7 linked regions of the Macaca mulatta genome follow. The protein of the gene in region 5 interacts with the protein of the main gene of each other region in a biochemical or structural test. Links are inferred from orthologs where the notes say so. Each region holds a gene or a part of one and is shown on either strand. Other genes may lie near its edges.

What was found.
Region 1: the proteins of LRP1 (region 5) and APOE form a complex in vitro, tested with the Homo sapiens proteins (2 studies listed by IntAct, with this or other methods). The link is inferred for Macaca mulatta from reciprocal best matches to the Homo sapiens genes LRP1 and APOE.
Region 2: the proteins of LRP1 (region 5) and LPL form a complex in vitro, tested with the Homo sapiens proteins (3 studies listed by BioGRID). The link is inferred for Macaca mulatta from reciprocal best matches to the Homo sapiens genes LRP1 and LPL.
Region 3: the proteins of LRP1 (region 5) and DAB1 form a complex in vitro, tested with the Homo sapiens proteins (2 studies listed by BioGRID). The link is inferred for Macaca mulatta from reciprocal best matches to the Homo sapiens genes LRP1 and DAB1.
Region 4: the proteins of LRP1 (region 5) and THBS1 form a complex in vitro, tested with the Homo sapiens proteins (3 studies listed by BioGRID). The link is inferred for Macaca mulatta from reciprocal best matches to the Homo sapiens genes LRP1 and THBS1.
Region 6: the proteins of LRP1 (region 5) and PLAT form a complex in vitro, tested with the Homo sapiens proteins (2 studies listed by BioGRID). The link is inferred for Macaca mulatta from reciprocal best matches to the Homo sapiens genes LRP1 and PLAT.
Region 7: the proteins of LRP1 (region 5) and APBB1 form a complex in vitro, tested with the Homo sapiens proteins (2 studies listed by BioGRID and IntAct, with this or other methods). The link is inferred for Macaca mulatta from reciprocal best matches to the Homo sapiens genes LRP1 and APBB1.

Annotation. Positions count from the first base shown.
Region 1 is NC_133424.1:57,410,730-57,414,933, reverse strand, and holds the start of APOE (apolipoprotein E), read right to left. Parts: upstream 2,801-4,204; 5' UTR 2,548-2,800; intron 1,984-2,547; 5' UTR 1,961-1,983; coding exon 1,918-1,960; intron 476-1,917; coding exon 283-475; intron 1-282. UniProt on the Homo sapiens protein: APOE is an apolipoprotein, a protein associating with lipid particles, that mainly functions in lipoprotein-mediated lipid transport between organs via the plasma and interstitial fluids.
Region 2 is NC_133413.1:21,588,916-21,592,415, forward strand, and holds part of LPL (lipoprotein lipase), read left to right. Parts: intron 1-1,046; coding exon 1,047-1,158; intron 1,159-1,841; coding exon 1,842-2,075; intron 2,076-3,500. UniProt on the Homo sapiens protein: Key enzyme in triglyceride metabolism.
Region 3 is NC_133406.1:183,204,722-183,208,861, reverse strand, and holds the start of DAB1 (disabled homolog 1), read right to left. Parts: upstream 2,801-4,140; 5' UTR 2,610-2,800; intron 2,236-2,609; exon of another isoform or gene 1,704-2,235; intron 1-1,703. UniProt on the Homo sapiens protein: Signaling adapter of the reelin-mediated signaling pathway, which regulates the migration and differentiation of postmitotic neurons during brain development.
Region 4 is NC_133412.1:16,894,129-16,897,628, reverse strand, and holds part of THBS1 (thrombospondin-1), read right to left. Parts: intron 3,239-3,500; coding exon 3,141-3,238; intron 3,037-3,140; coding exon 2,897-3,036; intron 1,964-2,896; coding exon 1,956-1,963; 3' UTR 1-1,955. UniProt on the Homo sapiens protein: Adhesive glycoprotein that mediates cell-to-cell and cell-to-matrix interactions.
Region 5 is NC_133416.1:64,370,455-64,373,197, reverse strand, and holds the end of LRP1 (prolow-density lipoprotein receptor-related protein 1), read right to left. Parts: coding exon 2,725-2,743; intron 2,490-2,724; coding exon 2,328-2,489; intron 2,024-2,327; coding exon 1,849-2,023; intron 1,717-1,848; coding exon 1,615-1,716; intron 1,451-1,614; coding exon 1,386-1,450; intron 1,274-1,385; coding exon 1,183-1,273; intron 1,085-1,182; coding exon 940-1,084; intron 787-939; coding exon 646-786; 3' UTR 501-645; downstream 1-500. UniProt on the Homo sapiens protein: Endocytic receptor involved in endocytosis and in phagocytosis of apoptotic cells. Required for early embryonic development. Involved in cellular lipid homeostasis.
Region 6 is NC_133413.1:44,285,477-44,289,480, forward strand, and holds the start of PLAT (tissue-type plasminogen activator), read right to left. Parts: upstream 2,801-4,004; 5' UTR 2,729-2,800; intron 1,744-2,728; exon of another isoform or gene 1,548-1,743; intron 1-1,547. UniProt on the Homo sapiens protein: Converts the abundant, but inactive, zymogen plasminogen to plasmin by hydrolyzing a single Arg-Val bond in plasminogen.
Region 7 is NC_133419.1:59,372,656-59,376,155, reverse strand, and holds part of APBB1 (amyloid beta precursor protein binding family B member 1), read right to left. Parts: intron 1,940-3,500; 5' UTR 1,926-1,939; coding exon 1,205-1,925; intron 1-1,204. UniProt on the Homo sapiens protein: Transcription coregulator that can have both coactivator and corepressor functions. Adapter protein that forms a transcriptionally active complex with the gamma-secretase-derived amyloid precursor protein (APP) intracellular domain.

The sequences.
Region 1 (4,204 bases), on a different chromosome or scaffold from region 5:
GTGAGACCCCATCTCTCTGTCTCTATATAAAAGAGCTAGTGAAGGACAGAGACAGAGCCAGGACGAGTGTGAGAGGCTGAGTCAGAAGGGAAGAGGGAGAAACAGAACTGAGAGAGAGAATTCCAGAGAGCTAAAGCCAGGAGTCAGAAATGGGAAGAGGAAGCTAGAACCAGCAGAGACCCAGGACTCCCAAGACTTAGTGGCAGGGGCAGAATGAAACCTGGACCTGGGGAGGTATAGCCGCCCACCAGAAGGGTCAAGGGCCGGGATGGGGACACTCACGTCAGTTCCTGGGTGACCTGGGGGCTGAGCAGCTCCTCCTGCACCTGCTCAGACAGTGTCTGCACCCAGCGCAGGTAATCCCAAAAGCGACCCAGTGCCAGCTCCCAGGGCTGGCCGCTCTGCCCCTCAGCCTGCTGGCGAAGCTCGGGTTCCGTCTCTGGCTCCACCGGTTGCTCCACCTTGGCCTGGCATCCTGTGTGGAACAAGTTGAAGGTGGTTCAGGTTCCTTCTGACCCCGTCCAGGCACCTAGTACCTAGGGGCACACAGAAGGTGCTCCACAAATGCTGCTTTGGAGCCATGGTGGGCAGGGTGAGGGGGGAGTCTGTTTAATCACTTGAAAAGCGTTATTTATTTACAGACAGGGTCTTGCTCTGTCACCCAGGCTGGATTGCAGTGGCCTGAACATGGTTCACTGCAACCTTGACCTTCTGGGCTCAAGCAATCCTCCTGCCTCAGCCTCCTGAGTAGCTGGGACCACAGGTGTGTGGCACCAGGCCTGGCTAATTTTTGTATTTTTAGTAGAGACAGAGTCTCACTATGTTGCCGAGTCTGGTGTTGAACTCCTGGGCTCAAGTGATCCTCCCACCTTGGCCTCCCAAAATGCTGGGATTACAGGGGTGAGCCACCGTGCCTAGCGGAAAAGCATGTATTGAGTGTCCTTGTGTGTCCCAGGCAGGGCTGTGTGGGGTGATGGAGAATAAAGATCACAGCTGTCCCGTGTCTGGTATTCTAATGCAATGCATTAGAAGCCTCTTAACTCCCAGCTGGGCGCGGTGGCCCATGCCTGTAATCCCAGCACTTTGGGAGGTTGAAGCAGGCAGATCACCTGAGGTCAGGAGTTCCAGACCAGCCTGGCCAACATGGTGAAACCCCGTCTCTACTAAAAATACAAAAAAAGTTAGTCAGGTGTGGTGGCATGTTCCTGTAGTCCCAGCTACTCCGGAGGCTGAGGCAGGAGAATGGCATGAACCTGGGAGGGGGAGCTTGCAGTGAGCTGAGATCCTGCCACTGAACTGCAGCCTGGGAGCCACCGCACTCCAGCCTGGGCGACAGAGGGACTTCATCTCAAAACAAAACAAAAACAAAAACTTCTAACTCCTATATTAAGGATGGGGAGGCCGGGCGCGGTGGCTCACGCCTGTAATTCCAGCACTTTGGGAGGCCAAGGCGGGCAGATCACGAGGTCAGGAGATAGAGACCATCCTGGATAATACAGTGAAACCCCTTCTCTACTCAAAGTACAAAAAATTAGCCGGGCATGGTGGCGGGCGCCTGTAGTCCCAGCTACTCGGGAGGCTGAGGCGGGAGAATAGCGTGAACCCGGGAGGCGGAGCTTGCAGTGAGCTGAGATTGTGCCACTGCACTCCAGCCGGGGCGACAGAGTGAGACTCTGGCTCAAAAAAAAAAAAAAAAAAAAAAAAAGCGGGGGCAGGAAACCGAGGCTCACAGAGCGTCAAATCGCTGTTCTGAGCCAGAAAGCAGCATAGAAGCCTCAGACCTGGGCTTTCCCCTCAAGGGGAAGACAGACCAGCAGAAGAAGAGGGGGCCCGAGGTCTGCCTGAATGGGGCCAGGAGGTTGAGGTGAGGATGAGAGGGGGAGGAGCAGGGAAACCGAGCAAGCCCCGCCCCCATACCTGCCAGGAATGTGACCAGCAACGCAGCCCACAGAACCTTCATCTTCCTGCCTGTGATTGGCCAGTCTGGGGAGGGAGAAACAGTCAATCAACCGCCAGTAAGGACTCCTCCCACTCCCAGCCCGACCCCAACCCGGCCCCACCCCAGGTTAGCCTTCCAAGCCTAGTTCCATTATCTGCAACAGCCTAATCCTAGCACAAACAGTTACCAAGCCGCCCCCAACCCATTCCCTATTTAACTCCCTCCTGGTCTTCTCTTATTTCCCCATCCCCAGGTCGGCCTCCATAGTCAAAATTCCATCTTTCTCTCCCGGGGTTCAAATTCCACACCCCCTCCCCCTCCCCACCGCCGGTTCCATCTCAGTCCCAGTCTCGCATTCCTCATTCTCCCTTCACATTCTAAGCTCTAACCTCACATTTAAGCGCCGTTTTCCATTTATGAGCTAATTCAGTCCTCATTTTAAAGTTCTCCAATCGACGGCTAGCTACCGTGTCGCTGCCCCTGGCTTCCCTGTTATGGAGATCTGAGGACACTGGGGACACCCAGTAGGTGCTCGATAAATGACAGTGACAACTCGTGGGGGTCCTGCTGTGGCTTAGCTCCTAGTCCACATGCTCTGCCCACCCCACCTTCTAGCGGGTCGGGTCGTCTCTGCTGCCCAGCCCTTACCAGGTCCAGTCCCCTGCTGCTGGCCTCACCCCCGCTCCTCCTATCCCCAAGCCCGACCTCGAGTAGCTCTCCTGAGACTACCTGGAGGCCAGGGCTTCCCGAGGTCCCAGCTACATCTTTCTAGAGGCCCCTGAGCTCATCCCCGTGCCCCCGACTGCGCTTCTCACCGGCTCCTGGGGAAGAACGTCCTTCACCTCCGCTGGGGCTGAGTAGGACTCAAGGATCCCAGACTTGTCCAATTATAGGGCTCCCCCTGTCCCGCCCCCTCCTCCAGGGATAGGGCGGGCTGGGCCAGCCCCCAGTCACGAGGTGGGCTGTTCTCCCCCTGCCCCAGGCACAGCAGGGCAGAGGGAGGAGGTGGGGCATAGAGGCCTTTTGACCACCCCCCACAGTCCCCAGGAAGTGAGGACACCTCGCCCAGTAATCCAGACACCCTCCTCCATTCTGGGGGCCAAGCGTCGAAGGGGAATGTGCAGGCTGCCGCCCAGAGTCCTCCTTCCCTGACCCTGTCCTTTCCTGTGCCTGGATGAATGCAATCTGGAGAGGGGGCTGGGGATCTGGACTCCTGGATCCCAGAAAGAAAGTAGGGATAGGGGGCTGGACAGAAGTGGGATGGGAGGGGCTGGGCGCGGTAGCTCACGCCTGTAATCCCAGCACTTTGGGAGGCCACGGTGGGCGGAACACTTAAGGTCAGGAGTTTGAGACCGGCCTGGCCAACATGGTGAAACCCCATCACTACTAAAAATACAAAAATTAGCCAGGCGTGGTGGCGGGCGCATGTAATCCTAGCTACTTGGGAGGCTGAGGCAGGAGAATCACTTGAACCCGGGAGGTGGAAGTTACAGTGAGCCGAAGTCTCGCCACTGCACTCCAGCCTGAGCAAGAGTGATGCTTTCTAAAAAGAAAAACAAAAAAAGAAAAAGAAAAAAGAAAAGAAAGTGGTGCTAGGCGACTGGACAGAAGTGGGATGGGAGGGGGGTGGGAACAGTGTGGTGCATCTGCTAAAAGTCTAGGCTTTGCGAGTGGGACCTGGGTTTTAATCATAGCTTCCTCTTTGGTTGTGACCTTGAGCACAGGGGACCCACCCCTCCCCACGTGTAAAATGAGATTCCAGCACCTCCCCCTGGCTGCCACAGGCATTGTGGTTTCCAGGGTCTTGAAGCTGTGCTTCTGGGTTAAGGTTAGGATTCTGGAGTCAAACTGCCAGGGCTTGAATCCTGACTCTGCCAGTTGCCAGCTGTGTGACCTTGGGCAAATGACTTGTCCTCTCTGAGCATCGGGTTCCTTTGCTCATCAGACTGGGAAAGCAGTGACACGGATATGTTTGGTGACAAGCTAACGTGTATGGAGCACGGAGGACAGCCTTGGCACAGTGGTCCTGTTAGGGCTAGCAATGGACAGGCCGCAGTGAGCGCTCAGATGCTGTCTTTTTCCTAACAGCCCTGTTATAAATCCCAGATGTTTCAGAGGAGAAACCCGTGGTTCAGCAGCGAGATGAATGGCAAAGTCACACATCGAGAACTGGAGTGGGTGGGATCAGAGGATTCTGCGAGTCAGGGGAGGCTGGACTCCTGGTCCCGGGAAGGAACCCCCAGTGCCAGGCCGGGCCTGTTTGCT
Region 2 (3,500 bases), on a different chromosome or scaffold from region 5:
TTCCCCACCAGTTGGCTGGCCCATGGACATCTTATCCTCGCCTTGACATACCAATCTCTTTCATGAAAATACTAATAGTACTTATTCTTTAGTGTGACATAGGATGAATCTTTTTGTTGAACATTGGGAGAGTGATGGAATTGAGCTAGGAAGATGTTGGAAGGGAAGGTGCATAGGATAGAAGGGAACTGAGGTCTGGAGTTCTGACTTAGCTGCAAGAGACTCACTTTTTCAGATGATCCCCTGAAAAGTACCTCTGAAAAGTATCTTGGGGTTGGAAAGAAGCTAATACTCTGACCGAGGCAAATTATTTTAACCAGGTAATTGGAAGTAAAAAATAAGCTGTATTTATTAGACTGACCATAAACGATAAAAGTTCTTTTCTTATCTTTTTTGCTGACCAGGCAAATGAACATGGGCAAACGGGATCACCTCCCTGGGGCTCAGGCTTCTCACCTGTTAAAGGAGGGGTTGGACCATGTGTCTCTGATCCCTTCCACTGTAATGTTTCCTGAGTCTGTCATTGCTTGGCTAACCTTCAGTGATAAAGTGATACAGGTATTTAGAGTAAGGAATAATGGGAAAATATATACCCATATACTATATGTACAAACATATACACATATACATATATATATGCATGCATATATGCATATACACATATACATATATACATATATATGTATATGCTTGTACATATAGTATATGGTTATATATGCAAAGACATATACAAACATATGCATATATTATATACATAATAATACTATTTCAGATGCATGGAAAAACTGTCATTTCAATCTGTTATTAAAGGAAAAGAAAATCTATACTGGATTTGTTTATGGAACAGTGAAACAAAAGAAAAAGAGAAAATTTTAACAATAGAGAATATTTTCTCTCTCTTACCCGTAACACAAAATTAAAATAAGTAGAATTAGTTTTCAGTATTTCCTATATTTTGAAAGCAATACTTATATTTATTTTGTTTCTTTTAGTTTTGTTTTTTGGCGGAATTATAAGAACCTTTGTTTTCTTTTTCTCTTCCAAAGGAGGAGTTTAACTACCCTCTGGACAATGTCCATCTCTTGGGATACAGCCTCGGAGCCCATGCTGCTGGCATTGCAGGAAGTCTGACCAATAAGAAAGTCAACAGAATTACTGGTAAGAAAGAAGTTTCACTGGTCTTGTAAGAGTTGAGAAGACTGTCATTCTGAGAATCAGAACGAATTTTGTTAAATACCCACGTGTTCTTCCACGTGTGTGGTGTTCTTCCAGGAGACATGCCCAGCACTTCATTACCTCATTGTAGGGCTCTTTATTAGGGATAAGAAAAATTACAGATGCTCTGACGGGCTTACTATCCACTGGCAACAGCACAGAAATAAAGCAGAATTACACACAATGCCTGCAGATTTCTCTGGGAAGCCTGTTTCCCTCCACTCTCAGCTCTGTGTTTTCGTAGTGTAATGCACATCAGTACGAGGGGAAAAGAAAAAGGACCAATCCCAGAGGACACTTAGAAAGAAGACAGGCATCTAGGCAAAGGTGTGGCTTACACACAGAGAGAAAGAACCCACCGCTGTTTATACATCTTCTCAACATATTCAAAATAATCTACAAAAGGAAATCCAGCCATCCTGAGTGAAAATTGCTGTATAAGGCTAAGAGACTCAAATTCATTGTAGAAAGAGCCAAGCCTCCTTTTATGTCTAAGTAAAGATCCAGTGACTACAGGAGATAAGAATCTAAATAGCTGCCAGTGCATTCAAATGATGATCAGTGACATACGAATATCACACGAATGGAAATTTACAAATTTGTGGACCTGTTTTTTCCCTTTTAAGGCCTTGATCCAGCTGGACCTAACTTTGAGTATGCAGAGGCCCCGAGTCGCCTTTCTCCTGATGATGCAGATTTTGTAGACGTCTTACACACATTCACCAGAGGGTCCCCTGGCCGAAGCATTGGAATCCAGAAACCAGTTGGGCATGTTGACATTTACCCGAATGGAGGTACTTTTCAGCCAGGATGTAACATTGGAGAAGCTATTCGCGTGATTGCAGAGAGAGGCCTTGGAGGTAAATATTATTTAGAAGTGAATTAAATGTGACTCTTATCCTTAACCCTTATTGACCCAAAGTCCTACCCAGTAGCTCCAAAGTATGTAGTTTTCAAATACACATTTGGCCAAATTATGTTTCTGAAGAATTCTGCAATGTTCAGCAAGACCACCTTATAGCCAGGCAAACAGACATTTTATCTTTTATTTACTATATTGTAGACTACACTGAGCAGTGCACTTACAGTAGCAAGAGAAAAAGGTGAGATTTAGACAGGAAAACTCCACTGACCTCAATAATGGCATCATAAAATGCTATCTGGCCACAAGTTGTCATACCTTGAATGCAATTGCAAAGCCAATGGAAGGATTGTAGATGTTATTGGAATGGAAGGAGATGTTAATTAGTATAAATCTTCCAAAATTTTCAGAACATAATGTTGGCTTAATGTTTTACTTTAATAATGTTAGCTTGTGTTAAATTTATGATTTTTTCTTTTTTCTTTTTCTTTTTTTTTTTTTTGAGACAGAGTCTTGTTCTATTGCCCAAGTTGGGGTGCAGTGACACAATCAGAGTTCAGTGTGGCCTTGAACTTCTAGGCTCAAGCGATCCTCCTGCCATAGACTCTCAAGTATCTGGAACACACCCCCATACCTGGCTAATGTTTTTGTTTTTTGTAAAAACAGGGGACTTGCAATATTGCCCAGGCTGGTCTCAAACTCCTGGCCTCAAGTGATCCTCCTGCCTCCAGCCTCCCAAAGTTCTGGGATTACAGCTGTGAGCCGCCATGTCCAGCTTATGATTTATTTTTAAGGGCCCTTTGCATACTTTATGGACATTGGGACCTACCTAGGATATTCTCATTATTTTTGTGCACATTATAGAACTTACAGCATAATGTTACTATTTTCAATTGTCCTAAAAACATACAAGGAAGTCATTCTTATGGCATTGCTGATTATTTCTATGGTTCATTTGATGTAAAAGAGTGTTAGTAGGGGCAGAATCCTCAATTATACATAATATCAATGATAAAATACAATTCATTTAACAATTAACCTCTTAAGAAGTGGTTTCTAGAAATACAAAAAAAAAAAAAATTACGATTGGGCCATAACCCCACTGTAAGTTGAGAAGCATGTGTATATATATATGATGGTTTGACTTAAAACTTTTGGACATTATGATGGGTTTTGGGGGAATTAAGTGCATTTCAACTTACAGTATTTTTGACTTAGGAAAAATATATTGTAAGGCAAGGGGCATGTATATGTTTCTAGAAGCACCTAGAAGTGTTAGACACTTTCAATATAAGAGAATGATGTGACAAACAAGGAAATCAACCTCCACCTTGGAGGCTTATTACAGCTTCATAAACATACACATAAATATAAGAAGTATGAAAGTCGAAAATTCCCTGTGAACTTGCAACTTTCACTGTCT
Region 3 (4,140 bases), on a different chromosome or scaffold from region 5:
ACTGTGAAACAGCTTGTGAGATGAGCTTCATCAACAATAAGTAATTTTTATTCAGATTTTATCGTTGACTACAATGAACATGATTAAACGTTTCAGATATGCCTATTCAGACCTTAAGCAAACCACTAAAAAATAAAAACTACTAAAAATCATCTTCTAAATCTGCTTTAGAAGAGACTTAATTGCCAACTCGATGGGTAGAACCGAATTCCTACTTGATAGCAGCACCGTTCCCAAGAAGATGGTCACAACATATTTGCACTTCCCACCTCGGCCTCTTTTCTCATCCCTGCGGATCCTCCCAGCGTTGCCAAATAGTTACAAAGTCAGTCCTTTCAAACCACTGCATTTTGAACTTCCTAAACCTTTAAGAGAGACTCTGTGTACGGAAAAGAACAATAGCGCTTCAAAAGACCTTTCTGCGAGTTCTTCAATACTCCATTTGAATGCTGGGGTTTCAATCAAGGACATCAGCAGACAATTTCTGATTGCTTAGAAGTTGACTTTTATACAGCTTTGATTAGGTCGCCCTTCTCAATAGGAAATCAAGAAAATATTTGATCACTTTAGGTTCCCAGAATTGTCACCAAGCCTTGTCAGGATAGGGAGTGAAAGAGACGGGGGTGGCGGGGGGCCCTACTCCTTCTGACATCTCCGAACCCCCATCTATCTTCGTGCCTGCGCAGTTCCGGTGCCATCCAGAATCACTCATCACAGAGATCACAAAAACAATGGGTGCTAATTCAAGGGGTGGGGATGGTTTATAATTTTATGGATTTCCCAAAGACCTATAATTGGCACATAAATGTACCAACGTGAACTGGATAATTAGGGGGTTCTAAAACGTAAGCCACCTTTAATTTATATGATTACTTGAAAACGTTAAGTGTTGTAAAGTGTAGTGGAATCTCCACACGGCCTTTATTCAAAACTATCAACACTGAAAGTGTATTTAACTGGCCAGCAGGAGGGGAGCAGGAAGGAGGTGGAAACGACGGCGCGGATTCTCACCCCCGGTCCCTGTTGGCTGGCTAGGAGCTGCACTGGAGCATCCAGCTCGCAGGCGGGCTCGCCCCCGTCCAGCTCCCAGGCGGAGAAAGGCGCTCTCGCTACCGCAAGCTCTACACTCGCCCCTCTTTCTAACGGAGTTAAACATAGGCGTGCGCCGACATCCAAACGCACACGCAGACACCGACCCACGCGGGCGCGCACCCCAGCCTCGCGACACACACACACCGGAGCGCACAGAAGCCCGCGCCGCGGCGCTCTCCACTCCGCCCGCCGCCGAGAGCCGAGCGGTCGCCAAACGCCCCCGGCCTCCCCACCCCCACGCCATTCCTTCAGACTCTCCCAGCCTAAGCGGAAGTGCCCCAGCAGACCCCCAACAATGAGGACTTGTGCGATGCAGTTGGGGGTTGGGGGTAGTTCACACGGAGTGAAACGTACACAGTCTGGCAGGTCTGGGAGCAGCCAAGTGGCGTCCGCCTCTCCAGGCAGCGTTCCCTTGTGCCCACTGGCCCCCATGAGGCCCACCAGCACCACCAAAAAACAAAAACAGAGAAAAAAAGCGCCTTAAAAAGTGCAGAGAAAAGATGCGCCCTCCCACCAGGGGTCACAATAATACTCCCCGGGACGCAGCCAGCGGAGGCAGAGTCCTGACTGCAGCAGTCACCCTGGTTTTGAAATTTACTTTGTACACTCACCCAGTGGCCCCTTTCAGACGCCGCGACACGACCTCCCCCCATCTCGGACTCCCTGCCTCTGGGTTCTCTCGGCGGTTGACACCCTCTTGTGTGCCTGCCTTACGAGCCGAACCACAGAGATTTAAAGTTTCCCTGGTAGGAAAAAAAAAAAAACTGAGCTCTCTGCATCCAAGTCAGAGCGTCTGGAGCAGAGAGAAGGAAGAGAGGCGGGCTGGGGAGGGGACTAACTGGGCGTGTGGGCAGGGGGGTGCTGGGGAGTGGATGGAGGGGGTCGAGCGGCAAAGAACAGAGTCCACAGAAGATCCGAAGAAAGGCAGGGGTCCGAGGAACGCGGGATCCAGTTCTCACGGTGCCCGCGAAAGGGCTGGGATTACTGGGATAGAGTCGGTTTTTCGAGAGGTCGAAGCCGAACCTAGCTACCGAGGAGTAGGGAAGTGAGAACGGGGTTCGGCCGAGTGAGGAAGAGGGTCTGGCCACCAGAGAAGCAGGGAGGGAGTTTCGGGAGCACAGGACAGCGGGAGAAGGCAGGCTCGAGGACCGACAGAGCCAAGACCGCAGGAGGAAAGAGGGCGCAGGGGGTCTTGGAGAGAGACGCGTGTCAAGGGTGGACAAGTCTGGAGACAGGATCGCGCGTGGTCAGAAGTAGGGAGACAGGGGCGCAGGGGTGGGTGGCAGGAGAGAGAAAGAGAAGTCACCCCTTTCCTCCCAGCAAGTGGAGGGAGAAGGCGAAAAACTGCTGCAGTCGCCATCCTCGCACCACCCCTAGCCAAACTGCTGAGTGGCGCGTCCCAGGAGCCCTCCTCCGCGCCGGGGGCCCCAGCGAAGCTGGCTCCCCGGCGCCGCGTCGTCGCGGGGCACCTGACGCGCTGAACTCAAGGGTTGCCGCGCGCCCCCGCCGCGCCTCACCTCGCCTAGCCCAGAGCATCCTCCTCCGCTGCCGCAGCCGCCCAGGAAGCGGCTACCCATGCCCGGCGGGCGGCGGCACTCAGGCGCGCTCTACAGCCCGGGGAAGCCCGGGCGAGCGCCGAGCTGGGTCCATCCTCCCCGGGAGCCACGGGCCCCGCGTCAGAGTAGGGGGAGGAGACCGCCACCCGCGCGGACCCGCCTCCTCCCGCGGCCCCCGCCCCGCCGGCCCCCGCACCCGCCCGGCGCCCAGCGGCGCCGCTCACCTACTAGCTCCCCGGCCGCCGCCGCCGCCTGGTAGTGCGCTCCTCGCCCCGGCCTCGCGGCTCCAGCTCCCTCCGGGGCGCTCTCTGCGCAGCCTGAGCGCGCTCCGAGAGCTTAGCCGAGCCGCGGTGGCGACGAGGAGGTGGAAGAACGAGCGAGCGAGCGAGCGGGGGCGCCGCGGCTTGCAGTCGCGCCTCTGGAGCCCCTGCGCGCTCTCTCCATCCTGGCGTGGAAGCGGGAGAGACAAGCCGAGAGCGAGGGGTCCCCGCCCCAGCCTCGCCAGCGTGAAGAGGGTAAGGGAGGGGGTTGTCACAAAGTAGCCAGTGTTTTCTCCCCCATCACCACCACTGGCCGCAGCTCCGCCTGGCCCCTCTCATTTTTCTCTAGGGTCTACCCTTTTATCCAAGCCTCGAAAACATACGCATACCCAAATATACGGAGTGCCATTATGGGCGAAACCACGAGGGGAGTCTCTGTGAGGGCATGTTGCCCCCACGCCCCTTGGCAGGAGGGGGCGCTCGCTCCCAGCCGCCAGCGCAGGCTCGGTGGCTCCTGTTTTGACTGAGGCTTCCCAGGCAAAGTTGGGCAAGTTGGGAGGGAAAAGGCTAGCATGTGTCACGTTTCCGTCCTAGGAAAGACCCGTGCCCCTGAGAGTATGCAGACCGCGGTTAACTCCGGCTTACTCCCCCCAACTCCCTTACTCGGCTCTTAGAATGACTGGGAGTAAACAATCCTCTGATCCGAAGCTGTGCGGGAGACGGCTCCAGCGAGTACGCAGTCGGTTGCTCCTTGCTTAGGGTCCTAGCTTACAAAGATCCTAGAAACACCAAGTCGCAGAAAAGATTGGGTCCTTCTGAACATTCTTCCACCCTGAGACTGGATTCAATTCCAGGAATCCCTGTTGTGTGGCATACCTGTCTCCAGAGGCCTGAACGCAGGAGGAGAGAGGAGCCTGGAGAATCAAATCAAGTCGATAATGTGTAGATTCGCACTGCACACAAACCACCCTGCTGGACCCAGGTGCAGAAAAGGAAAGCAAGAGGCAAGCAACCCTTCCTTAAAAAGTTTACCCTTACTCTTTTGGGGGCTACACTTCTGTTTTCCAGCTGTGTAATAACAAAGCTAATGCGATGGATTTGTGCTTTTCTGTTTTGGGTTTTTTTTTTTTTGTTTTTTGTTTTTTTGTTTTTTTTTTTTTTTTTTTTACCTCTTAGCTTCAGACACTCACCCACGGAAATTTAATGAAGCTTTTAGGGTTGTTACCTCCAGA
Region 4 (3,500 bases), on a different chromosome or scaffold from region 5:
AAAAATAGGGGGAGGTCAAAAGCAAAAAAAAAAAAAAAAAAAAATCAAAAAAAAAAGGAAAAAAACCAACAATTCTTCAATTCAGTGTGCAAACATTATATAAAAATAGAAATAGTAACGCTACAGGCAGTATTTCCTGATAAATTATTTAAATAGCATATCTACACAATCTGAGATCTCTATTCCAATGGCAATGAGAAAATAATTTATAAAAATAAAGCAATGGTATACAAGATGATAGAAAAAAAACCACGTAACTTTCAGAAATTGTATTTAACATTTCAATGCTATTTCCTTATTGGGAATACTTCTCTGCAGAGTTTTTATACTATGTACAACATTGACTTTTTAGGTACTACAGTAGCTTTAAGTTTGTTAGACACTTAAACTCTTTCTGCTTGATCCAAAAATTCTTTACTCAGTCACACAACAAATGAGGTAATATTTGTATGTAAGTTTCACCTTTGTCATTTTTTTCTCTTTTGGAAAAATCAAAGAAAAAAGTGTATATGCTTTCCTTCTCCCTGGAAATAGGCACAAGGGATGGGGTAAAACAGGATTGAAGACCTCATGGCTTTCTTTGCAATTTAAAACATTTGCAAATGGATAACCAACTAATTCCACTTGAAAAGATAAAACAAAGAAAAAAGAATCCCAGAACATCCACTCTGGGCACAAGGGGCAGAGCAGCTCATTAGGCTGATTTTCCTTGTGCTGTTCTTGCAAGAGATTTGCTGATAAATGTCAACTACTTGCTGTCAAACACTTTCCATATGAAGCCTAAATTCCAGGCAGAACAGAGTTAATAAATAATCTGTATTTACAATCTTACAGTCACGAAGACTCTCAACAAAGATGACATGGATAGTCTTTACGCTTCTTCCTGTTCCTTGAATAATCCTTCAGCCAGATCTTCCAGAATAAGTAAAAAATAAATATTTTACATCGTAAAGCATTTTAAAAAAATCTACACTCCAAAAGAGAGAATTAGAAAACTCCATGATAATTCAGGAAAAAAGAGAAAAGGAATGTTTTAGTTAGGTTGACAATAATTTTGTGCCTTTGTAACCATTAAAATACAAGCGTGGCTGCCCCTCCTTTGGGAGGCAGCTGGTGCTCACTGAGATGGTAGATTTTCCTATTTTCCTGCTACATCTGCATAAGCTACTTCCAGAATGAAAACACCAATTTCAATGTGACCAGGCAATGGCAGCCAGCACTGCCTTACACTGGTTTGATTCGGATTCCCTAATTCTGGCCACTGCAGGTGACAAGTAAGGGGTGGGGATCAGGGAGGAAGTCCAGAAGCCAGTCTTTCTCTCCCTTTCCTGCTTCTATTTAAGTGTCTATTTACATGGGTTAATCAGCTAACACCAGTCAGCATCATGAAATCCAGCAATAGTCTTTCAATCCCCTGAAAATGACTTAGTACCGAACATGTAACAGTTCCTCCATATTTTCTTCATACAATCGTCTCAGGTATGCGCCCTCCCCTTAGTGCTTTGGCCTCTGCTCCCCGTGTTCCTGAAGGAGGATGTCAGGGTGGTTTTGTTTGCTAAGTCTAGTGAGTCCTCCCTTCTCTGACATGCCTGAAAATGCTTTTGAGTCCACTGCTCAGAGATGGCCTCACAATAGCACCCTGCTCTGTGACACAGGCAGAGTGGAATGGCACCTTCCCAACGGAAGCAAGTAGATGCTTTTTCAAAAGGAAACCAAAGCAATTGTTTGTATGCTTGGAAGATGTCTTATTCATTAGAGGCTGCACGCTGAGTCTGTTTTCGAAAACTGCATTTTCTTGAGGCAGGTCGCATGTTCTAGGAGTCCACACTGATGAAAGCAGAGAAAAAAAGGAAGGCAAGGAGAAGTGATCCTGGAGGTTTTCTCAAGCCCATAGTTCCAGAAGGTGCAATACCAGCATTGGTTTATCATCAGTCTTTCAATCAACAGTTTGATGATTAGGGATCTGTTAAAATAAACAAATATAAATAAATATACAAATGAAAACTAATTCATAAAAGCACAGACATCTTAGTATCAGTTAATAAGTTAAACCACATAGGAATAGCTCTACTTTTCTAATGACAAAAGCCTAATTTAAGATTGTTCAAGCATATTAGCATTTAATTTTGTGAGCTGACATCGATGCTAGGTGACCAACATGGCATGAACCTTCCAGAACGTATATTATGCTTTCCAAGGCTTTCAATGTTAAAAGTTTAGGGAGTCTTATTTTAAAAATTCAGACTCAAAAATTACATTAATAATTTAGATTTTTGTGTGTGTGTGTAAAATCAACCATCTTTCTCTACTCTGATTGATCTTTTCAGTATCTGGCCTTGGCCCAGTAAATATATATTAAGTGCTTATTTTGTGGTAGAGCCAGTGTTGGACTCAGCAAGCTTAAGTAATCACTGAGTAAAAAAGAATGAAGCAAAAAAAAGCTAAGTTTAATAGTAAACCTTAATTTAACATGCCAATATGAAAGCAACATTCCTCTCCCTTCTTTATATACAGGGAAAAGTTGGGAATTCTAACTTGTGCTCTGATGGCATGAATAAAACACCAAGCAGTAAGATATATAAATACATAATTGTAAAGAACAGTATTATTAATGAAGTCCAAATTGTATAGGAGCTTTTCTGCAGCCTACCTTTGCACTGTGTATGAGCAGCACAGAAACTGCTAAGCAAACTAATATTGTAACTAAGGACTCGGGAACTCATAAGCCACAGTGCCTAGGCATTATTCCATTTTTGTCCTTGTGTCCTCACAAGCAAGATAGAAATAACCCTGTCTCCAAAGCAGTCTTTACAATGGACTTCCCCATAACTGTCATCCTTGGTATTAGTCTGCAATGGAGATGTCCGGTGTACATTCATGGTGATGTTGCTCTTACCTCTACATTCGTATTTCAGGTCGGAGAAGAACACCATTTCTTGAGAGAAGACAAACAACCCTAGTCTACCACCAGCATAGGTTTTATCATAGATGGGTCCTGAGTCAGCCATGATTTTCTTCCCTTCATACATCACCACTCTGCAGGGGAAAAAAGTCTTGTTTAGTGACAATGCTATTTCATACTTTTTGTCTTTTTGTCCATTAGTGTGACTTTAAGTGAAATTGAATCAGTACGATCATACCTAATGAAACCCGTCTTTGGCCTGTGGCTGAGACGCCATCTGTAGGCGGTGAAATCTTTCCAGCCTATGTGACGAGGGTCATGCCACAGGGTGCGCACCTGAAGGAAAAGGAAAAGGAAAAGGAAAGGTTGAAACAACACAGCTCCTTCAGGTAAAGATTTCTGTTTCATTCCATCAGAAACAACGCTTGAAAGGTACCGAGCTGATCTAAGCTAGAGGGCTGCAATGGGGAATTGTTCCAAGCCCTCTCACATCTGTTGTGTGCCACTGAGCGCACACATAAAGCAGACGGAGAGGAGGGAAGGAGGTTTTTGTTTGAAAAGGCTGAAGGCACCTTAGGATCTGCGGGGCAATTCTTGG
Region 5 (2,743 bases):
GGGGAGGCTGGGGGAATGTTTACCAGAGGAAGTCTCCAGCCCTGGGAACCTCAGTGGGGGCCCTGGAGATGGGAAGGGCCTGTCTGGGAGGGGGATTCAGCATGGCCATCTCATAGGTGCCCCTGGAGTCAGGGCTGGGCTTTGGGGTGGCCTCCCCCAAGAACTAAAACACTCCATCCTTTCCTGCCTACCTCACCCAGAGCCACGTCTTCCAGACAGGGGCAGCAAAGAACTCTCCTTCCCCAGAATTAGCCCTCCGGGAGCTGTGGGAGCGGGCAAGCAGGGGTAGGGTCGAGAAGGGAGAGCCTTGGCAAAGTGTCTTATACAGGGAGGGGGAGGCTGCACCACCAGCTCTCCCGGTGGGGTGTGTTCTGGTGGGAGGGTAGGAAGTGCAGCCCCAAGCCCTCCCTGCCTGCCTCCCTGAAGGCAGCATGGGGGTGCCGAGGAGCAGGCAGGGAGGGGATGGAGAAATAATACTGTGCTCGCTTGCTGGCTTGCTCGCTCACATATAAAACGTAATTCCTTCATTTTTACATTTATACATCCGGCGAGGCCGGGGAAGGGCTGGCTGGGGAGGGGCTCACTGAAGGACTTCACTGGCAGGGGGCAGGAGGCTTTCTGGGGGAAGTGCGACGGGGCAGGGCCCTATGCCAAGGGGTCCCCTATCTCGTCCTCAGGGCCCCGGCCCAGGAGTTCTCGCTTCTCGTCCGTGCTGGCCAGGGAGTGGCGACTGCCGTGGCCCCCCATGTAGAGTGTGGCATACACGGGGTTGGTGAAGTTGGTGGGCTGCAGGGTGACAGAGGGTTCAGGTAGGGCTTAGGGGCTGGGCCTGTGGCCCAGGTCACCCCACCCCCACCTCTGTCCCTCACCTAACCCAACACCTTTGGTTAGGCCACCCACAGCCTCTTGGCCCTCCACCCTGCCCACCTTCCAGCCCACCTTGTCAGGGTCCAGGGCAAAGTCGGCGTCCAGTAGGCCTCCCACGTCATCAGGCTCTCCGCCTTCGTACATCTTGTAGGTGGGGTTCCCAATCTCCACATTCATGGCCCCGTTGGTCATCCGCTGGTGCTGGAAGCCCTTAGCCCTGGGGAGAGGCAGGAATATAAGGAGGCAGAGATTATTGGGGGGAAGGTTAGGATGGCAAAATAATGGCCAGAATGTTCCAGATTCCCTGTGACTCACCCTTGGACTCGCCGCTTATACCAGAATACCACTCCGGCCACCAGAAGCACCAGCAGCAGCAAGAGCAGAGGGATTAGGATGGAGGCTATATCTGGAGGGAAGAGGTGGGACACTGAGTCACCAAGGCTCAGGGAAGCAGGAGGCACACGGTCCCCCTGCTCTAGGTCCCGGTGGCCCTGCCTGCCCCACCCCCTGCCACCTACGTCCTGGCTGCTGCTGGCTGAAGACGTGCTCCTCACACCGGGGCCCTGTCATGTGGGGTGGGCACCTGCAGAAAGGAGGGACACAGATGAGTAGACATAACCTCCATAGCCACTGCTGCCAGGGAAACGCGGTGGCGGGGGGTGGGCGCTGACGCCTGACGATCTTCCTGCTCAGATCTGGGGAAGGGAGGGATAATCTATGCCTGGGTGAAGCCCGGGCCCAACTCACTGGCACTCAGGCATCATTTTGCTGTTCATGGTGCAGGAGCCGCCATTGCTGCAGTGGCCGATGCAGGTCAGACAGCTGGGGGCCACCCGGCCGTCCGTGCAGCTGCAGGAAGGAATCAGAGGCTGGTGCTGGGGCTGGCAGAGGTGTGTCTGGGATGCTGAGGAAGGGGCAGGGCAGGGCTAGGACAGGGCAGGGGCTGGGCTGAGTGGAACTGTGGAGGAGGGCTCCACTCACTTGCAGGTGACATCCCCACTCTGCTTGTTGACCACACAGGCCCCTTCGAGACAGCGGCTGCACTTGTTCACCTCACACCTCAGTCCCTCAAAGTAGGCAGTGCAGCGACATTGTCGGGAGCCATCAGCGGCCATCTGGCATGTGCCAAAGTTCTCACAGTAGCCAGAGCACTGCCCTGTGGTTGGGGAGGGAGAGAAGTGCCTCAAGCCCCACCCTCATGAGGGCTCTCCAAAGGTTGAACAGAGCTTTTCTGTTTGCATGATCTTGGTGCCGGGGGGTGCACTGCCTCGGGGGAAGTGTGCCAGCACCTTTGTGGGGAAGCACCAGCAGCTTGGGTCTGGCTCAGCTGCTTAAGGCCTCTTTTCCTGAACTTGACCCTGTGCGTCCCAGGCACAGGTTGAACATCACCCCATGCTCTGGGGTTCCCCATCACCCGTCACCCTCCTGCCTGCCCTGGGGCCCAGGGAAGGCTCACTCACGGTACTGGCAGCGGTCGCCCAGGAAGCCGGGTAGGCATCGGCACTGGGGCTGGTTGCCCTGGTTGACAGTGCAGGTGCTGTTGTTGGCACAGTAGCCTGCACACACCTGCTGGGTGCATTTGGGGCCCGTGAAGCCCGTGGGGCACCGGCACGTGGGCATGCCTGGTGGGAGAGGATGTGTGAGCGGGACTGTGGCCCTTGGGACCACCTGGCCCTATAGCAGAGGAATGGGCTGGGGGGACCTGGGCGAGAGTCAGAGACTGGAGTGAATGGATGCTGGGTCATGGAAAGGAGGCTGGAGGTGAGGCAGGGGTGGGCATCTGCCTAAGGTGGGGTGGTGGGTGGTGGGGTTGGGACCCGGGGCAAGGAGCAGGCGTTGCAGGATGAGGGGGCATACCAGAGGGAGAGGCAGCACA
Region 6 (4,004 bases), on a different chromosome or scaffold from region 5:
AAAAAGAAGAAAAAGAAAAACAAACAAAAAAGAAAGAAAGAAAGAAAGAAAGAAAGAAAGAAAGAAAGAAAGAAAGAAAGAAAGAAAGAAAAGCCTTAGATGGTAATGGTGGCTTCAAGTGACACTACCAAGGTATGAAAGGAAAATAAATCTCAAGACCCCCAAATCACTACGCCAAAGGGAAAAGCCAAGCTGGGAACTGCATGAGGCAAACCTGCCTCCCATTTTATTCCTACATAAGACAGCTACAAAGATAAAAAGCTACATACCTCCCTCACAATTTACCCACAAGGAAACTCCTTGTGGACTTCAAGATCTGTACGCTAAAACAGTTCTGCTGAACTTCACCTTGGCAATGCAAATGGGTGCAGGACAAAGGACAGAACTCAAAGTCATCCCTCTGCTCACCTGAGACAAACACATATCTGATTGCTTCCTCTGCCCTATTGTTTTTGTAAAAATGAAGATTCAGGCCAGGCATGGTGGCTCATGCCTGTAATCCCAGCACTTCAGGAGGCCGAGGTGGGTGGATCACCTGAGGTCAGGAGTTCAAGACCAGTCTGGCCAACATGGTGAAACCCTGTCTCTACTAAAAACACAAAAATTAGCCGGGTGTGGTGGCAGGCGCCTGTAATCCCAGCTACTCAGGAGGCTGAGGCAGGAGAATCACTTAAACCTGGGAAGTGGAGGTTGCACTAGCCAGGATTACGCCATTGCACTCTAGCCTGGGCAAGAAGAGTGAAACTCCGTCTCGGGAAAAAAAAAAAGTAGATTCACTGAGCCAACTAAGGCATAAGTGACTCTTCCTCTGCCCCCCCTCACATGTAAATTGTGTATTCAATGAAAGGCTGACAAAGACGCAGAAGAATGATATCTTTTCTTCTCTACCTATGACCTGGAAGCTCCTACTTCCAGTTGTCCTGCCTTTCCAGACCGAACCGGTGCACACTTTACATGCATTGATTGATGTCTCATGTCTCCCTGAAATGTATGAAACCAAGCCACACCTTGGCCACCTTGGATACACGTCCTCAGGACCTCTGGAGGCTGTGTCACAGGTGTGTTCTTAACACTGGCAAAATAAACTTTCTAAATTGACAGACCTGTCTCAGTTACTTTTGGGTTGACAAAGGAATGCCTGGGCTGTTTGTTGAAATCCTTTGAAATCTACTGGCCACTGACTCTGCTCGGCAATGTCAGGCCCTGGGGGAAATCAAAGCCTCAGTGAACTCAAAAACCAACAAAGGGGAACTGCTATTCCCAGCTACTCCCTGGCTGCCTGGACTGTCCCAGGTCTGTGATGAAGCAGGGGGAGCCACAGACACTGGGAGAATCCGATGCAAGCCATCGTGAAATAAACCGAGCTGGTCTTGGGGAGTTGGGCAGAGAAGGAGCACTTTGGAGACAGGGCAGCTTTCATTTGCTCCTGAGATTTTGATCTTGGGCTTTATCATTTGATCCAGAGCTTGGAGGCTGGTGTCTTTGAGAACATTTTAGGTGGAATAAATGGGTGGGCAGGATGGAGCTATTCATATCTCAATACTCACGGTGTCCCTGCCAGTGCTGGAGTCCGACTCTGCCTGCACAGGAAGCACGCACCCAGCAGCTCAAGCTGACCGTCGTGGATTGATTCTAGATCCCAGAATGAGTGTTCTTGCCACAGCAAGTACTACTGCTAGGAAGTCACCTTTGAGGGAACTCCACCTGACAATGGTATTTGCAGGACCGCTTCCTGGGATTGCAATGCACACACATACACACACACACGACATTTTTTCTGTCATCAAGGAGCTACAGGAGACCACCATATTATTCCCAATTGGCCGCCAAATGCATCCTTGTTACCACACTTCTTTGAGCTTGAGTTTGTCATTAGTTACCTGGGACCTCGGCATGTTTTCCTCTTCCCTCCCTCCCTTCCTCTCTCCCTCCCTGTGAGGTTAAGAAAATAAAGATAATAACAGTGAAAATCTAGAGAACCCCACATGCTTTCTGCAGAGTGCTTTAGGAATAAAAGACATTGATGTTAGTTTTTTCCCCTGTAATTAAAATGTCCTTTAAGGAGGACTGCACGCTTGACTGATGCACCCTGGGCAAAAAGCCAGAGGGCCAAACTGACCTGTGGAGACTTGTGGGGGTGGCACCTAGGGAGGAGATCAGAGGCATTTCTCTACCCCACGGGGTAATGTGGGGCGCGAAAGCCACCTGCTTCCCTCTCCCAGCACCTAGCGAATAGTGCTCTGGAAGTAAGGCCCCTCTGCTCCATCCACAGCCTCAGTTCCTTCCTGGGGGTTCATCGGGGGAGGGAGGAAACTGGGGGACCCCAGAGGGCCCTCCCAGCTGTCACAGCCACGTGTCCCAAGGCAGCCGATTTTCCTTTTATTGCCTGCTCATCTTGAGGTGCTCCCACAGCCTATTTGGGGCATTTCTGTATCGTTCTTTTCACCTTCCCCCTTACTCTGCCAGCAGAGGCTCCTCCAATGAATGCAAACTCCCTAGTCTCCCTTCCCCTGACTCCCTCTCACCTCCAAAACACTCCAGCCTATCCCAATCACATGCAAATGCAAACAGACATCTCCCCTCCGGAGTGGATTCTAGCGGATCCTCTAGTTGCCTGAATTACAAAGTTGGTCCGTTGGTTAAAGCATTCCTTCACTGGCTCAGCTTGCTGGAAAGACTTTTAAGAGACAGAAGAGGAGACAGACCCCAACACAGAAACCTGACCTACCGCGGCTTGCTCCTTGCCTTTCCTCGCAGAGGTTTTCTCTCTAGCCCTGGACTCCTGTAGGATCTCAGCTTTGAGCTCCCTGAACAGCTCCAGCCTCCTTTAAGTTTCCAGGCAGGGGGTGGGGTCGGTGGCCCCGGCTGGGCGGGTTTCTGTGTGGCGGGAGGATGCTCAGTGGACAGGGCCATGAGGGAGCTGGGGCGGGCCTGTTTTTATAAAGCAGGGGGAGGAAGTTCACGGTGGAAGCAGCACAGCCCATCCTGGCTTCGGGCCAGGCAGATTATTCACAGCCCTGATGTCATCGAATCACAGGAATTTGGAAGTGGGACGGGATCTTAAGATTCATCTTCCTTTAGAGTCTTAGTGTCCAAGACTTAAAAGGGACTTTCAGGACCCTGTGATGACAAGAAGTGTTTATAATTCTAAAGGCACCAGGCTGGGGCTGGGAGTGGGGTGTCTTCTGGAATCTGTGGCTGTAGCTCTGGCCTCTCAGGACATGAGAGGTTAAGATTGGAACACTTTGTGTGGTGGCGGGAGCTTAGGGGGCTAGCCACTGAGAAGGCAGGACTAGCCTCTGGCTCACCTGCGGTGGGAGGTGCCCCCATGGGGATTTGCTCCAGTAGGCATCTCAGGCCCAGCTCTGTAATTTTAGGGAGAATCTCTCTCTTCCTTGTAAAGTGCAGGGCTGCAGTAGGTGGCCTCTGGGGAGTTTCTGACGCCAGCATCCCCTCGAGTGGGCCCAGGGAATATACACAGGGCCTTGGGGCCAACATGCCTGAAATTCGATCAAAGCCATCAGCCCTTAAGCCCACAGAAGCCTTTCAGTGTTTGCTTGTAAAATGCCCCTGGAAATAGACAAGCCATTTCCCTTGCTGACACCTTTTCAGATGACTAAGAAATAAAAGCCCTGTGGTGTAGGGGAAAGTCTTAGGTTTAAATCTGGCTGTGCCAGTAACTGGGGTATGACCTCAGTCAAGGTTTTCAACTATGCTGAGCTCTGGCTTTTGCATCTGCAGGTCACGTGAGGATCAGAGAGAAGCCATGCATGTCAGGTCCCTGGCACATCATGGGGCTCAGCAGGAGCATCTATCATCATTGGTTCATGTCTGGCTGAGACCAGACCTTTTAAAAATTAGAGAGAGGTGAAAGAAAGAATGCAGGGAGGGAAGAGAAGTTTGGCAGAGGAAATTGCGGGATGACCGACTATCCAGGAGAGGCCAGATTTCATACATTCTGATCCTAAATATACTCATATGTGTCAAACCATGAGTGCTGAGTT
Region 7 (3,500 bases), on a different chromosome or scaffold from region 5:
TGCCCAGGTTGGTCCTGAACTCTTGGGCTTAAGCAATCTGACCATTTTAGCCTTCCAATATGCTGGGTTACAGGTGTGAGCCACTGCACCCAGCTGTAAACATTTATAAATAAAAGTATTTGCTTCAGAATAACCTACGCTGGGCCTAGGAATGGAAGACAGCATGTAGGTAGCAAGATTAGTTATGTATTGATAATTGGTAAAACTGGGTCATGGGTAAATCAGGCTCATTATTCTTTTCTCTCTACTTTTGTATATGTTTGAAAATGTCCAGAATGAGTTTTTCGAACGGGGATGGTGTGCAGCCCTAGGCTCATTTGAACTGCATGTTCTCTACAAAGATTGCACAGTTTGGGGTATGGGTATGGTGTTCGCTGCCTGGTGAAGATGGGGATCTTTCCTAATCTTTCTTAGACCCCCATCTACAGAACTCCAGGGTTGTGACTATAGCCCATTATCTCCATCCTTTGTTCCTCAGCTTTTCCTGTATTCTCTACATGACATTAGAAAATGTGGAGACTCAGCTGATTTAAATGGGACATATTTAATTATTAAGCCCTGGAATCCTAGTATCTACTCTCCTCCCCCTACCCAAAGCGTTTTCTTTTCTAACTTTTAGTCAATATCCTACTCCTGACAGCAGCTCCCCACAGACGTGACCTGTTAAAACGGGGCAGACTGTCCCAAGTGCACCTAAGTGCACTGTGCTCTGTGCTGTGGTGGCAGTGTAACACAGGGCCAAGAGCTCAGACCTGGACTCAGACCTGGTCTAGATCTCAGCTCTATTGTAATCTCAGCCTGTCTGTGGTCTTGAGAAAGCTACTAAACCTCTCTGGGTCTCTTTTTTGTTATCTGTAATATGGGGATAATCATAGTATTTACCTCACAGCTTTACTGTGAGGATAAAGCCTGAAAATGCTGAGTAGAGGGCCAGTTACCTAGTCAGTGCCCAGTAAACAAACTAGTCCACTTACCAACCATGGTGGCATGCATAATGAACAGATCTATCCATCCAGGCATGCATGATGGTCAGATCTACCAGAATGTCCAAGCACTCTCTGAACGAGAAAGCCTGGACATGGCCTGCTGTGGCCTCAGGACATGGGCTTTCAGCTCACATCAGGCTGGCACTGGCCTCTATATGAGAGGCCTAACCTCTGCCCTCACACCCTCCCACATGCCCATGTCAAGCTCCACAAGGTACCTGTGTCCTCTGGGGAGCCATAGGAGGGGCTGCCCTGGGATAAGGTAGCCCAGCTTGAGTCCTCGTCACTGGCTGCACTGTTCCGCATGCCAAACAGCAGGCTGGCACTCTTGCTGTGTTCCCGGGGGCCATCTGTAAGGGCTTGGGGCCTGGGAGGGGCCTCCACACTCTCCAGGGTCTCAGGCAGCCCTGGGGGAGAAGATAAGTCCTCCTCCTCCTCTTCATCATCATCCTCCTCCTCCTCCTCCTCAGCCTCCCCTGCCGCCTTCTCCTCTCCCTCATCTGGCCCCTGCTCTTGAGTGCTGATGATCAGGCCAGGTCCTCGTAGGCCTCGGTTGGCCGCGTTGTGGGCTGAGAGCTCCAGCTCAGAGTACAGGTGTATCAGGCCTTTGGGGCCCAAGGGTGCCATCTCAGGCTCCTGGCTGGCCTCCTCCGCCAAGGTCAAGGTCACATTGCGGTTCTGGTCACGGTGGGCCGTGGCGGCCCGCCGGAGTTGGTTCTGGCCCTCTTTTAGCCACTTGGCATTGGCAGGGCCTGGTTCAGGCCCACCACCCTCCCCCATGGCGCTACGCAGGTCCTTGGGTCCCACAGCTGTGGCCTGCAGCTTGGCGTTGAGTAGCTGGTTATGGGCAGCGTGCAGAGGCAGGGGTAGGCTCAGTGTGGGGCCTCCGTGGCTGTTGGCATTAATGGCCGACTGGCTCAGTGATGATGGAACAGACATGGCCTTGGCAGCTCCTGTGGGGTGGGGAAGGGAGATGCTGTTGAGCCTCTGGTCCAGAACAGCAGCATCACTGCTTCTGCCCCAGGGCTACGCCCTGTGCCTCCTCATCTCCCTGCACTAAGCAGGCTAGCACCCATGGCTCTCTATCCTATGAGAATGACTGGGCTCATCTTCTGTCCCAGCACTATCGTCCCCATCACAGGCCAGGCCCAGGTCTGAGGCTCAACCCATCCCTATATCCCCTGCCCTGAGCTTTCTGGGATGGCACAGCTGGTGCCTGCTCCGCCCTCGATCCCACCAGCAGGGCCTCCACACAATGGCTCTCTGTGCCTCCCCACCCCCCAGCTCATCCACCCGGGGCTTACTGTGCCAGGAACACCACTAGAGTGGGACTGGCTCGTGTGTTTTGGACACTGATCACTGACTGCCCCTCTCCTGCTGCACTTCCATCCCAAGCCCCACCACTGTAAGCTCCTCCGGCTGTGTTCCTATTCCCATAAGTCACTCAGCTCAACCAGCCCCCAAGCCCACCCCATACTAGGGACTGTGAGGACAGGAGGAAATAAGCTGCAGAACCAGCCCTACAGGGCATGGCACAGGAAGGCAGGTCACAGAGGGAGGGTGCTCGGTTGCAATTCACGGCTCCGCTGGCCAGATGAAGCTACATCTTGGTGACAATTTCCATGAAGTAGCTCCCCTTGGGCACCGGTCCCTCTGCCAGCCCTTATAATGCCCTGTCCTGGATCACTATGGGAGCCTTTCCCCTGGGCCCTTCAGCCTTTCAGATCTTTGCTTTTTGGGGTTTTTGTTTGTTTGTTTTTGTTTTTGAGATGGAGTCTTGCTTTTGTCACCCAGGCTGGAGTGCAATGGCAGGATCTCAGCTCACTGCAACCTCTGCCTCCCGGGTTCAAGTGATTCTCCTGCCTCAGCCTCCTGAGTAGCTGTGATTACAGGTGCCGACCACAACGCCCAGCTAATTTGGTATTTTCAGTAGAGATGGGGTTTCACCATGTTGGTCAGGCTGATCTCAAACTCTGACCTCATGATCTGCCCACCTCGGCCTCCCAAAGTGCTGGGATTACACGCGTGCACCACTGCGCCCGGCCCAGCCTTTCAGATCTTTGACCAAATGTCACAGCCTCAGTGAAGCCTTCCCTGAACACCCATTTTAAAACCACAGGCTACCTCAGTCCCTCCTCAGCAATCCCTAACTCTTCCCCAGCGCCTGTCACCATCTGACAAGCCAATTTGTTATTTACTTTGTCTAATGATTGTCTCCTCAAGACTACAATTTATAATCTCCGTGTTGGTGAGGATTTTGCCTTTTTGGTTAAATACAGTATGCCTAGTGCCTAGTGTAGTCTTGGCACAGAGCAGGACCTCTATTAATATTTGTTGAATGAATGTATGAATCAGTCCCCATTTCCTCCAGGCTTCGCTTTGGCCTCTCCTCTGCCAGTGTCAGAAAACACTTTGGTTATGTTACTGAGCCTCATGGTGCCCCACACAAACTCCACCTGCCTTTCAGGGAAGTGGACGCCCTGTTCTACAAGGCCAGCTCCCCTCCCGACACCT